Linked DNA regions of Mus musculus: regions 2, 3 and 4 are each reported to be linked to region 1. The links are microRNA targets in miRTarBase. Many come from high-throughput screens and were not tested one by one. Region 1 holds a microRNA gene; each other region holds the end of a gene's coding sequence.

What was found. The annotated mature microRNA mmu-miR-1896 reads CUCUCUGAUGGUGGGUGAGGAG and lies in region 1 at 1,659-1,680, shown strand. An mRNA with a match to its seed (bases 2 to 7 or 8) in the 3' UTR can be bound and repressed. Matches are read on the target gene's strand: a 7mer-m8 pairs with bases 2 to 8, a 7mer-A1 pairs with bases 2 to 7 and ends in A, and an 8mer does both.
Region 2: miRTarBase lists Kif1c as a target of mmu-miR-1896. Seed matches in the 3' UTR shown: 7mer-A1 at 1,613-1,619 and 7mer-m8 at 2,653-2,659.
Region 3: miRTarBase lists Rp2 as a target of mmu-miR-1896. Seed matches in the 3' UTR shown: 7mer-A1 at 1,479-1,485.
Region 4: the mRNA of Dzip1l is a reported target of mmu-miR-1896. Seed matches in the 3' UTR shown: 7mer-m8 at 1,569-1,575.

What each region holds. Positions count from the first base shown.
Region 1 is chr13:21,443,551-21,446,736 of GRCm38, forward strand. It overlaps Mir1896 (microRNA 1896), which reads left to right and starts at 1,610; the gene lies at 1,610-1,690. It overlaps Zscan26 (zinc finger and SCAN domain containing 26), which reads right to left. Exons shown (of 6, transcript NM_001347491.1): 6 at 1-2,279. The coding sequence ends at 1,381. 4930470G03Rik (RIKEN cDNA 4930470G03 gene) reads left to right here. Exons shown (of 4, transcript NR_151504.1): 3 at 521-643; 4 at 1,372-3,186.
Region 2 is chr11:70,728,412-70,731,504 of GRCm38, forward strand. It overlaps Kif1c (kinesin family member 1C), which reads left to right. Exons shown (of 23, transcript NM_153103.2): 23 at 1-3,093. The coding sequence ends at 468. Among named protein-coding and RNA genes, the nearest start is that of Mir6925, 24 kb to the left of the region's middle.
Region 3 is chrX:20,397,223-20,400,315 of GRCm38, forward strand. It overlaps Rp2 (retinitis pigmentosa 2 homolog), which reads left to right. Exons shown (of 5, transcript NM_133669.5): 4 at 1-84; 5 at 430-3,093. The coding sequence ends at 513. Among named protein-coding and RNA genes, the nearest start is that of Jade3, 27 kb to the right of the region's middle.
Region 4 is chr9:99,667,590-99,670,682 of GRCm38, reverse strand. It overlaps Dzip1l (DAZ interacting protein 1-like), which reads right to left. Exons shown (of 16, transcript NM_028258.4): 16 at 608-3,044. The coding sequence ends at 2,880. Among named protein-coding and RNA genes, the nearest start is that of Dzip1l, 40 kb to the right of the region's middle.

The DNA of each region.
Region 1 (3,186 bases):
ATTTGCATGGTCAAAATAATATCAAAACAAGTAGCATTTAAATTTGCATCATTGGTATCAAAGGGGGAAAACCCCATTTCCCCCCATGGGACATTCATGAAAAAAGGTGTCCTTCAAGCAGTCACTGTACTGGCACTGTTGCTGCCCAGTAAGGAGGTCGCTGCTTAGAATACTTCAACACAGTTCACTCAAATGACTCAAAGTCTCTTGCATAGTTTAGGTAAAACTTTGATTTATAATTTGAAACACTGTGATACTGTGGTTAAAATGGGCAGGAAATGTAAAATGACATGAGCTAATCCTAAGGGTAGGTTCTATAGTTAAACAGCAAAAGCTTTCAGAAATGCATTCATTGATGGTACAAAGGTAAAGTGGATATGAAGCCAGTGTTTGTGTGAACCTAACAGGGAAAATGTTCAGTTAACCTACGTTAGACCCTTGAGGATGTGTATTTCTAAGCATTATTAGATTTATTTTGGGCTTAAAAATATTTTACCAGTTGTGTGTGTGTGTCCACCAGTTTCTGTGGACCACTGTGTACAGAAGCCTGAGAAGGCTAGCAGATCCCCAGAACTGGAACTGTGAGACGCTGTGCTATGGAGGTGCTAGGAACTGAAAATGGATGGGTCCTCTGCAAGAGCAGGTATGTTAACTGCTAACTCTAGCTCCTTAGGATTTGTCTTTTCACATGTATGATGTTTGCAGGTATGGCTCTACATACGTATGGACACATGTGCACTTAGATTATCATCAGGAGTCTTCCTCAAGAACTCCACCGACTGCTCTCCAAACTCCCTCCCCTGAGTCCAAAGTTTGCTGATACAGCTAGTCTGGCTAGCCAGCTTGCTAGAAAGATCCCATTTTTGCCACCTGAGGGGTGGGACCACAGGCCACAGGCTGGCCACATACTCATTTGACTTTACATGGGTGCTGGGGATCCAAAACAGTCCTTCCACTTGCATAGCAACTTGGTTAAACCACTGAGCATATCCCCAACCCTCATTAATTTTATGTTTTAGGAGCCTGTTGCTACAGTACTTACAAAAATATCAGCTTGATCTTGTCCTGTATAAATCTATAGGCACTTGACTTACTGATTTCAAACACTTCATTCACACATAAAGCTAATACTTAAGAGATACATAATCAAGTACTTATCACACTGAAAGCTCTGAGAAGCTCTGTAGTGAATATTTGTTTAACTCTGATTCTGCTATTCTGGTAAATTATTATAGTCTAATTATGACTTTAAGTAAAGCCAAGAGAGGGACACAACGGAGGCAAATGGCTTCCAAGAATCCTGAAGCCGTCGTGAGTTCTTTCAAAAGGCGCTGTTTGCTTATCAATGTAACATTTCCATGTTTCAAACAGAGAACCTCATCAAGCCAGTTTGCTTTTATGGTGATGTCTCTGATGCTGAAAGAGACCAGACTTCTGCCTGAAGGCTTCATTGCATTCACTGCACTTGTAGGGTTTTTCTTCATTGTGGATTCTAACATGCTGATCTAAGTGTGAATTTAGGCGGAAAGCTTTCTGACACACATTACATTTGAAAGGTTTTTCTCCAGTGTGAATCCTATGATGTCGAATAAGGTCGGAGGTCAAGCTGAAGGCTTTCCCACACTCATTACAGTGATGTCTTTTGGAACGACCATGGACTCTCTGATGGTGGGTGAGGAGGAGGGCCCGACTAAAGGTTTTCCCACACTCCTTGCATTCTCGGGGCTCATCCTGACTGTGAATTTTTTGGTGTCGATTAAGATGAGAGCTTCGCCTGAAGTTCTTTCCACAATGGATACACAGATAGGGTTTTTCTCCAGTATGGATCCTGAGATGCTCCAAAAGACCTGCATTCTGGCTAAAGACTTTTCCACACTCTTTGCACTGGTAAGGCTTCTCCCCAAGATGGATTTTCTGATGTCTGATGAGGTGTGAACTTCTCTGAAAGACTTTCCCACACTCTTGGCAGGGATGACCTTTGTCTTTAGAGATTTCCTGATGGTCAGCAGCAACAGAACTCTGAGATCCTACAGATTCCCAGGACATTTCTCCTGTATGTGCCCTGTCATGTTCAATCAGGCCTGAGTTCTGAACAAGTCTCTCCTTAGTTTCCAAGCATTGGCTGTTAGTTTTTTCCTTGGGCATGGCTGGATTCTTTTTCAAGCTCAGGTCCTCACACTGGGCCTCAATGGGTTCAGTCATGGTACAAGATGATTCCATTCTTCCACAAGAGTCTGTCCCTGCAATGAGATTCCCATTCTCACTCCTTGTCTCTTTACCTGAAATAGTAAATATATATATCACTAATTATTTTATTTTTGGTGTTCAGGGAAAGGAATCTGCAAATAGCAGGAAATACTTAAATAAAGCCATGTGTATAAATGTAAAAACATGTTATGTGTGTTTTATTTGCATGTATGCATGTACACAACATGCATGCAGTGCCAAGGAAACCGTAAGAGGCTGTCCAGTTCCCGGAAACTGGAGTTACAGAATGTTGTGAGCTGCAATGTAGTTGACAGGAACTGAAACCAGATCCTCTGTAAAAGTTTTCTTAAGAGATGAGATCGCTTCAATCCTCACAAAGTAAAAAAACAACAACAAAATTTTGCTCATGATTATTTTATATATATATAAAGAGTGATTTACAAGAAACTGTGGTTTTGTTTGTTTTTTTTGAGGTAAGTTTTCACTATGCAGAATAACATGGCCTAACCTAATCCTCTCCTCTCAGGTCCCACAGTTACAGCACCACCACGTCCAGCCTGACATCTGGGAAAGTGTTAACCAGATTGGCTTTGGGGAAGGGCAGGGGTTGTGGTGGGAGGTGATTTATTTTAAATGTTCTATATTTTATTATGTGACATATGTTACACACACAGAAGCTACTAAGCATGACTGCATATTCTTGATCATGATTTGTCACCTGGGAAACAAAAAAGCACCATAAATCAGGTCACCCGAGGACCATCAAGTTAAGCAGGGAAGGTACTTTGACAAATGAAGATGAGTTGACATGGTGCCAATTTTATCACTGAGTAGTATGTAATCTTGGAAAAAGTGTTTACGTTCTTAACAATAAATCAACAGTACCGGGAGCATAAGACCTTGAGAATAATGCATTCACAAAAACATCATGTTGAAATATGATTTGTTCCCCTCAGAGGGGATCTATAGCAGATTCAG
Region 2 (3,093 bases), not on the chromosome of region 1:
CTGCGGCTGCAGGGACTGCAGGGCGCTGGGGGCCGGGGTGGGGGACTGCGCAGGCCTCCAGCCCGCTTTGTGCCCCCGCATGATTGCAAGCTGCGCTTCCCCTTCAAAAGCAACCCTCAGCACAGGGAGTCCTGGCCAGGAATGGGGAGTGGAGAGGCCCCAGCTCCTCAGCCCCCTGAAGAGGTCACTGTCCCCCCAGCACCCCCTAACCGTAGGCCTCCAAGTCCCCGAAGACCCCACCGTTCTCGCAGGAATTCCCTAGATGGAGGGAGCCGATCTCGGGGAGGGGGTTCTACACAGCCAGAACCCCAGCACTTACGGCCCCAAAAGCACAACGGTTATCCCCAACAGCCCCAGCCCAGCCCAGCCCAGCGGCCAGGGCCCCGCTACCCACCATACACTACCCCTCCGCGAATGCGACGGCAGCGCTCAGCCCCTGACCTCAAAGAGAGTGGGGCAGCTGTGTGAGTCCCACATGATGGGCAGACAGGGCCTAGTGGGGCCCTTGTTAGGAGGAAGGTGCCCACTGCTTCCCCAAGAAGCCCTGGGGCAAGGAGGCCAGAAAGCAGAGAGCAAGAGAGAGGGAAGGTCCGAGTAGGTGGTAGAAGATGCCAGAGAGTGTGCTGGAGGCTGAGGGAAGGAAGAGGGCGCGGAGTTGCCAGGAGCAAACCAAAGTCAAGGAGGGTCCGTAGGGAGTTGTCTTGGGGCTACCCGTTGCAGGGGGGAGTCCCACAAACGCTGCTATGGGTGGGTGGGTGGGCTGGGGTCTGCATAGCCAGTGTTTGACTTTCTTTTTGAGTGGGTGCAACGGGGAGAGAACCGAGAGTGAGGTGGGTTCTCCTCCCCAGCTCTTGTCTGTCCGTCTATCCGTCTGTCTGTGGTGGATTTCTGTTTCCAGGGAGGTGTGGTGGGATCCTAAGTCATTCCCTTCCCCTTCCAGGCCTCCTGCTATATTTAGGGGACCTGTCTGGTTTGGCTGGGGTCCCACAAAAATGTGGGACCTCTTAATAAAGGATAGCAAACAGCTTGTGGTTGGTGGGTTTTGGTAGCGGTTAAGGTTGTGCAAGTAAAGTATCGTTTTACTAAGCGCGTCATCCCACGTCATTTCTGCATGTGCGTGACCACCTCATCAGCGCTCCACGCAGGCAATGCTGCCATCCTATTTTCTTAAGTTGGAAACCTCCTGTTCTTCTCTCCGGGGTACACAGCCTGTTCTTTCATTTCTGTTTGCTCTGGGTCTCTGCCCAGGTCCTGTACCCTCAGTGTCCTTGACAAAGGAGGGAGGGCTGTGAGGGGCAGTGGGGTCTGTCAGTCTGTCCGTGCCTAGGTGAAGGATTTGGGGTTCTGCCTCACTGACTCACCTCACTTGTTTGGAAGGTGTCTGCTCGGGGAGTGTTGATCGGGCTTCCTGCACCACTTGTGTATTCTCATGTGTCACCCGAGTCACTTGCCCTTCAGCGGGCCACAGTCAACCTCCTGAGCAGCATTTTAAGACTTGCTTTCGAAGCCAGGCATTGTGGTGCACATTTTGAATCCCCACAGGAATAGGCAGATCTCTGAGTTGGAGGCCAGCCTGATCTACAGAGTGAGTTCCAGTGTAGCCAGGGCTACACAGAGAAACCCTGTCTCGAAAAAACAAAAAAGAAAATCACTTTCTAGCTAGGCAGGTATGTGTTGCCCTTCTTTGAATGAAGCATTGGGATGCTGAGACAAGAAAATTGACACAGGTTCAAGACCAACCTAAACTACACAAGACCTGGTTTTAAATGATCACACTTCCCACAACCCAAAATGGTTAAAACTTTTAAAAATAACTTAGATGATGAATGTGAGTGTGGGTTTGTGTGTATGAGTACCATGCCAGTGGAGGACAGAACAGTCTCATCTACATGGTGCGATGCTGGTATCCAACTCTGGTTCTCTTCAAGAAGAGAATGTACCTTTAATCACTGAACTGTCTGCTCACCCTAGAGTTTAAAAAAAAAAAATCAATAATAAAAATTCAGAAAATTCGCTGCCTTTGTCTTTAACTCTAGTTTGAGTAGCACGCTTAGGGATGCCACGTGAGAAGCTTGCAGGTTCACCTGTATCAAGCATAGCCCTGAGCTTGCTGAGTCCCTGAGTAACTGTGCTTTTATCTTGTTACTTAAACTGGGCTGCTACTCTGCAGGGTCCTGAAGCCAGTCAGAGTTGTGCAAGCAGACAGATTGACCCAGATCCTCCGAACTGACCCAGGGCTCTGAGCAGGGCTAGCGTGCCGTTTGCAGTTGGTTTCTTCTTCCCTCTGCTACTGGCTACCTTGATTTTGACACTTTTGATTGCTGGGTTTCCAGAAGCCTGTTGACTGTGACTCGGGACCTGGAGTGTAATGGCTAGTTTGGTAGCAGTGTTTACTTGAGCGGGTTTATGATGTGGTTGGGGAGAATAAGTGTAAGCAAGAAAATGATAGAGTCCAAAGGTCTCTGCAGTCAGGGTGAGCTGTGTGGTGCAACGTAGGAGAGTCCAGATGGGGGGTGGCGGGGAATGCCAGTCTCAGCTACCACTGGGTGACCTTTCTCTAAGGACTGTATCATGTAAATAGGTACTGCCTTTAAAAAATTGAATTCAGTCTTCCACTTCTGTCTTTAACAATGCGAATAGACGGGATTTTATTCAGAGATTTGCCCATGAGTGTCATGTACACGTGCCAGCCTGTGCTCTGCATCCCGTTTCATCCTTAACCCTGCTCCCATTTCAGATGGGGAGACAGGTTTGATTGGAATGAGTTGCCTAAGTGTGTAGTTCTTCGGTGGTGAAGTTAGGGTTCTAACCCAGGCTAACCTGGACTTCATCCAGCCCTCCAGGACAGGGGTATTGTTCTCTCCAGGGGCCACACTGCCCTGTCCCTTGGATCCTTCCAAGTGTATCATAAGCCTGCCCCTAGCTTCTGGTCTCTCCTGCTTTGTGCTATGAACGAGTGAGTGAGAGCCGCTATTTCAGGAGCCTGCTCTAAAATCAGGGGATGTTGCCTGAGCAGTTCTCCGGCTTTCTGGCCCTCTCAGTTTTGGCACTGCTACAATGTCTCCCTTGGTTTCCCTGGCAATGCAGTTTGCT
Region 3 (3,093 bases), not on the chromosome of region 1:
CCTGTGATTGCCTTGGAATTTAATGGAGATGACGCTGTACAAGAATGTCACCTTATTGTAAATGGGATGTTCAACGGGACAAAGGTATAAGATCTTACTGACTATATCTCAATCCAGCTTTCCATTTTATCTCCTTTCCCTTATAATCAAACAGTACTTGTATTTATGGTATATCCCTTAACATCACCATCACAACCATCTGTAACTCCAGCTCCAGAGGATCCAACACCCTCTTTTAACCTCTGAGGAAACTGGGCATGTGTGTGGTATACATACTACATACATTCAGGCAAAACATTCATACACATACAAAATAACTCTAAAAACTTAAAAAGAAAACCCAAGCCTGTGACTTTGTTCTGAGAAGAGGTAGCCTTTGACAGTTAAGGGCTACAGAACTAATTTTTGTTTATTTTGTATTTGGAATAGATGTTTGTATCAGAAAAGAAGGAGACCGCATCTGGAGATGTTGATAGCTTCTATAACTTTGCTGAGATCCAGATGGGGATATGAAGCGGATTGTGGTATTAAGCCCCTTCCATCCTTTATATACAGACAGTTTGATAATATCCTTACATATGTTAGTCATTTAGCAATTAGTAATTTTTACTAATGCTATAATTGTTAAAAGCTATTTTTAAATAACTCTTTGAATACCATATTATTTACTTGAGTATCTAAAATAATTCATTTAAATTGAGTAGTTTTAATCATAAACTATTTAACTTGCTTCAGTAAGCTTGCAGTTTTATTTCTTTTCATACAATAGTCTTATTAGGAAATAATCATGATTTTATTCCTAATTAAAAGTTCTTTCATATCTCTGGTAATTTAAACTTTCCAACTTACCTTAGTGCTCTATGATAATTCATTTAAGAATATATTTTGTTTCTTATTTTCTCTTTTAATTTAGAGGCATTTGTTACTAGGTGAAATTAAATAAACCTATGCACTTTAAAAAAATACATACATAGCCAGTTAAATAATCATTTCCTTCTTGCATTATATGACTAATGAGATTTTGTACATGGAGTTGACATACTATTTTGTAAATTGGGAGATTTTTTTAAAATGGGTATTTGAAAGCTGAATGTGGTCATGGCATATGTAGTCCCAGGCTACTTGGGATGCCTAAGTGGAAGAATCACTTGAGTTCAGGAGTTCAAGAACAGCTTTGGCAAGTAAGAAAAGGCTAAGATAACCAGCTTTGCAAATACTTCTAACTGATCCTGGCATTGCTGGTTTAAGGACTACTTCCAAGTAGTACAGCTGATTTCTAAGCACAACTGCCAGATGATTCTCCTGTTTTCTAATAAGAAAAAGTTAGATACAACATAAAACTATAGAACACCAATGACCAAGCAGGGCGTGGTGGCACACGCCTTTAATGCCAGCACTGGGGAGGCAGAGGCAGGCTGATTTCTGAGTTTGAGGCCAGCCTGGTCTACAGAGTGAGTTCCAGGACAGCCAGGGCTATACAGAGAAACCCTGTCTCGAAAAACAAAACAAAACAAAAGAACACCAATGAGCAACAGATTTGACAGAGGTGATCAGTGTCTGTGACTAGCTATTGTGACTAGCAAGAGACCTAGAGCAAATCTTATAAGTAAGGAATCTTTTAAGTAAGGAACACTTAGGTATGATGATAATCTAGACAGGTTATTCAAAATCTCCATCCATTTTTTTTTTTTGCTCATGTCAACTAGTGTTAAAGTATGATAAAAGTTTTGGTTACTTGAAATCATTATTTCTCAATTCTATTTGATAATAGTAACTTCCAGGAGGAGGAATGGGAATTGTTCAGAAATACACATTGATGGATCCAGTCTAAAGGTGCACAGATTCAGTTTTCAAGGGAAACTGAAATAGGGTGTATTGTTATCTAAACTAATCAGTTCTGAAAGTGCTGATAGGGCGATTTTATCATATTTGGCAGGGAGCAAGAACAGCTTTCATAGGCTCATTTATAGGACTCAAAATGGAAACTTTTATTTTTATAAAACTGAGATTGAAAATGGCCACTTGTAAAAATTCCTTCCATGGTTGTTACCAAAAGTGTATTTTCCTGTTTAAAGTGGTTTTGGAAACTTTCAGGCCAACTTATAACTATCATGTTGAATTGTAAATGTGTAGAAATAATGCTTTTTTATTTTGAATTAATAATATTGAGTACCTACACTGTGCCTAGCCTACCATCAGCATTTCAACATTTCTTTTATTATAAGAGCATCATGTTCTACAGAGTCAATATGATCTCATAAGGTGCAAATAAAAACTGCTGGCAGGGCAGGTATAATAATTTCTATCATAGTTTACAAATGGTCTTTGCAAATAGTGATCAGAGGCATTAACGTTTCCCTGAGCTAAGCTAAATTAAATGCATTCTTTTCTGCCTTGATTATATTACTAATTTTCTTTACCCACATTTGAAATAATCTCAATACTTGCTATTTCAAAACTAAAATGCAATGTTATAGGGGGTATACATTGAGTTTTTAATCGTATCAATAATGGTGTGTAAAAACTCAAGAATATTATATAAAGGAGACATTAATTTAAGATTTTCCCACCAAATTTAGTATGTTAACCAAAACCTAAAACTTTATATCCATTTAGATGGGAACTTTTTACAAGTACTTTTATGTTGTTTCTGCAAGTCTAGACTTCAATAGTAATCATGATATACTAACTATATTTTATTTCTGAATAGTTTTTTAAATTCATGAAAAATTAATAGCCATGAAAACTGATTTTATTGTCATATTTGTTTAAGCATCTTATTAGTTTACTTCTCTTGCATTAATAGTACTGCTATATTTTGGGTCTGTATATTTATATGTGGCATTTATAAAATTATCTAGTGTTTTAAAAATACTTTGAAATAAATATTAAAATTAAAATGGTTCAATGCTACTTTTTTGAAGAGTACTCTATATTTACTCATACTTGTACCAAAATTTGATAAAATTTTTATTTTCTTTTGGGTGTTTTGTTATACAACTTTTAATTTTAAAAACAAAATAAAGTGGTCTAATCTCTGTTTTATACTAATGAGAAATGAACTGTTAAACTGCGTGTGTATGTATTTGATGT
Region 4 (3,093 bases), not on the chromosome of region 1:
CCAAGGGAGTTTCTGTGCAGCTCTGCCAAAAGCTTTGTTGTGATAACTGTCATGTGAAAACCTTTTTCTTAAGTTTTACTGTGCTTAAATGTATACGAATAAACCATGAAGTCAGACTCTAGAAGTTTTGACTTAGCACCTAAAACATTGGTGCTGAATTCCCTTCTTTACTTCCTTTGGATTGGCCCCCTGCAAGCCTTGGAGCCTTTGGGGTCCCTGACAATGACCTGCCCAATCGTGTCTGGTGTTCATGAAGAGACCTCTGCTCTAACCTCACCAAACCGTTTCCTTTACATCAATATGGCCTCAGCCCTCCCTCTACTCAACCACATCCCTTCACTCTCTCCGATGCAGGGCGTGTCTTCCATCACTCCTTCTGTGCTCCTCCTATAAGAACATCAGCACCTAGCCCAAGTTTTCGGGACCACTGAGAGGCCAGGAGAAGCCTGAATGGAGTGATGGCTGGCAATAGGTGAAGCAATGCTCGCAATTGAGTTGCCAATGGCTGGAGCCCAGCGATGAGGACAGGGTCTCACCACACCGTTCCCTTCCCTTGTACAAATCTGAAATTTTCCACAGGAGTTAGAAATAATTTGTGACAAACACGAGCGTTTAAGATGACTATTTTTCTCTTAGGATATTAAAGTCTCTATTCAAATGCAAGGAATATAATTGGCTGACAGAGTTCACAGCTGAGGTCTCATGCGACCCCAGGATCCCCCAGCCAATGATAAAGCACAGTGCAGTAACAAAGGTTTGGGGACACTACAGTAGGCAGTCCTGACTCTGTAGCTCTCCTGTGAGAGCCCTGCATTGCTGTCTGGGTTCTCCCTGTTTCTGCCTTGTGGTAGTTTGAATAAGCATGGCCCCTACAGGCACACAGATTTGAATGCTTGGTCACCAGGGAGTGGCACTATTTGAAAGGATTATGGAGTGTGGCCTTGTTGGTGGAGGTGTGGCCTTGTTAGAGGAAGTGTGTCACTGGGGGTGGGCTTTGAAGTTTCAGAGCCCAAGCCAGGACCAGTATCTCTCTCTTCCTGCTGCCTGAACCATGTCTGCCTGTGTGCCCATGCTCCCCTCCATGATGGCAATGGACTGAACCTCTGAAACTGTAAGCCAGCTCTACTTAAATGTTTGCCTTTATAAGACTGGCCACAATCATGGTGTCTGTTCACAGCAATAGAGCACTGACTAGAACATGCCTTTCCATTTTTCCACTCTGCAATCTTCCGCTGTCAGACCCCATTTCAGCCACCTTTACCTTGCCCAGGTAAAGCACCTCAGTAAAACTGGCTGTCTTACCACACCTCGATCACTGCATCCCAAAGGCCCTAAGCTGGTACAACTGAGGTGGAAGCTGCTTCACTCCCTCTTCACCACCCTCAGTCGCCACAAAGCTTGAAAAAAATAACAAAGAACGACATAATAAAGAGGTGTATACATCATTATATTTAAATGTTCAGTATAATAAATAAATGTTTTCACACTAAAAAAAAAAAATACAATGTAAGCTACGTGCCACCATGGACATCTTTAATCTCAGCACTCAGGAGGCAGAGGCAGGCAGATCTCTGAGTTCAAGAGCAGCCTAGGCTGTAGAGAGAGTTCCAGAACAGCCAGGGCCACACAGGGAAACCCTGTCTCAAAAAAAATAAAAAAATAAAAAATAATAATAAATAAAAATATTTTTAAAACCCAACCCCTCTCTGCCCAAAAATACAGTCAATATATATAAAAAAATCTCATTCAGAAACAATCTCAAAAATTAAATTTATGGTTCTATTGGGGACAAGAGGCTTCATCCAGATTGCTCTTTTTATTGCCCATGACCAAGCTCCACCACACAACACAACTCTGGGGCTTTCTCCAGGGTCATCCTGGACTGGGTGGAATGGTGTTCTGGTTAGTTTTAAATATCCATTTGTCACAACTGAGAACTGTCCAAGAGGAGAGCCTCCTCAGAGGAAGTGCTTTGAGGGCAATGTCTGTGAGGGATTGTCTAGATTGTTCACGGATGTAGGAGAACCCAGCCTACTGTGGGCAGTACCATCCCTAGGCAGGAGGTCCTGAACTGTATAAAAAGAGCTAGCACACAGCTGCAGTTAGCAAGCAGTATCCTCTAGGGTTCCTAACATGTTTCTTTGGCTGTGAAGTGAATTACTTGGTCAGAGGTAGTGCTGTGTGGAACAGCAAGCAGGTCTACCTTCATGGTCCAGCCTTCATCTCCTTGCAGTCATAGACTAACAAAGCCTTTCTTCCTCTAAGGTGCTTTTGGTCGGAGTGTTTATCACAGCAACAGAAATGAAAGTAGGGCAGCCAGCCTCAACCATGCCATCCCAACACTCTAATGCCTAGTACTCGATTACTATGCCTGGCCCTGGTAGCAGGCTAGCACTCGATTACTATGCCTGGCCCTGGTAGCAGGCTAGCACTCGATTACTATGCCTGGCCCTGGTAGCAAGCACGTTGTACCTCTTACCTCTGTCTGCACCCCAATTCAGTAGTGAAAAGCTAGAGAGTCCACCATAGACTACCTAACTGGTAACTGACTCAGAACCCAACTCCACGTTGACCTGCAGATTACAAAAACTTAGAAAGAGTAACTACTTTCAGTCTGGGCTGGACATGGGGATCATGGAAGAAACACTAGGAAGTCCTGTTACAATCCCTCTCACATTTACACAAGACCCAGCACCAGGAGCCAGCCTTTTGGGGTAGCGGTCGGGGGGTGGATAGAGGTTCTGTCTGTCTCCTACCCTGCTTCTCTTCAAGGGAAAGATTTCTTGGCTGCTAGTGAGAGCGGGAGGCCTGACGGCCTCTTCCATTTGGGTGAGACCAGCCAAGAAACAAGGCTAAGCCCTCTGGCAAACATAAGAGAATCACCAGCCAGGAATCCTGGGTCGTGACCCCGAGCTCCAAGGGCTGACATCAAACTTTTCTGGGAGCTTTGAGTGGGACAAAGGCTTTGGCTTTCCTTTCTGGCCCAGGTCTTGGGAGAGATCTTCCAAAGACGAGATCTCCACGTCACTCTCATCTTCTGAAAGCTGCAGAGGTAGAAGAGGAGAAGAAAAATGACATTGATAAGTGCAGGAA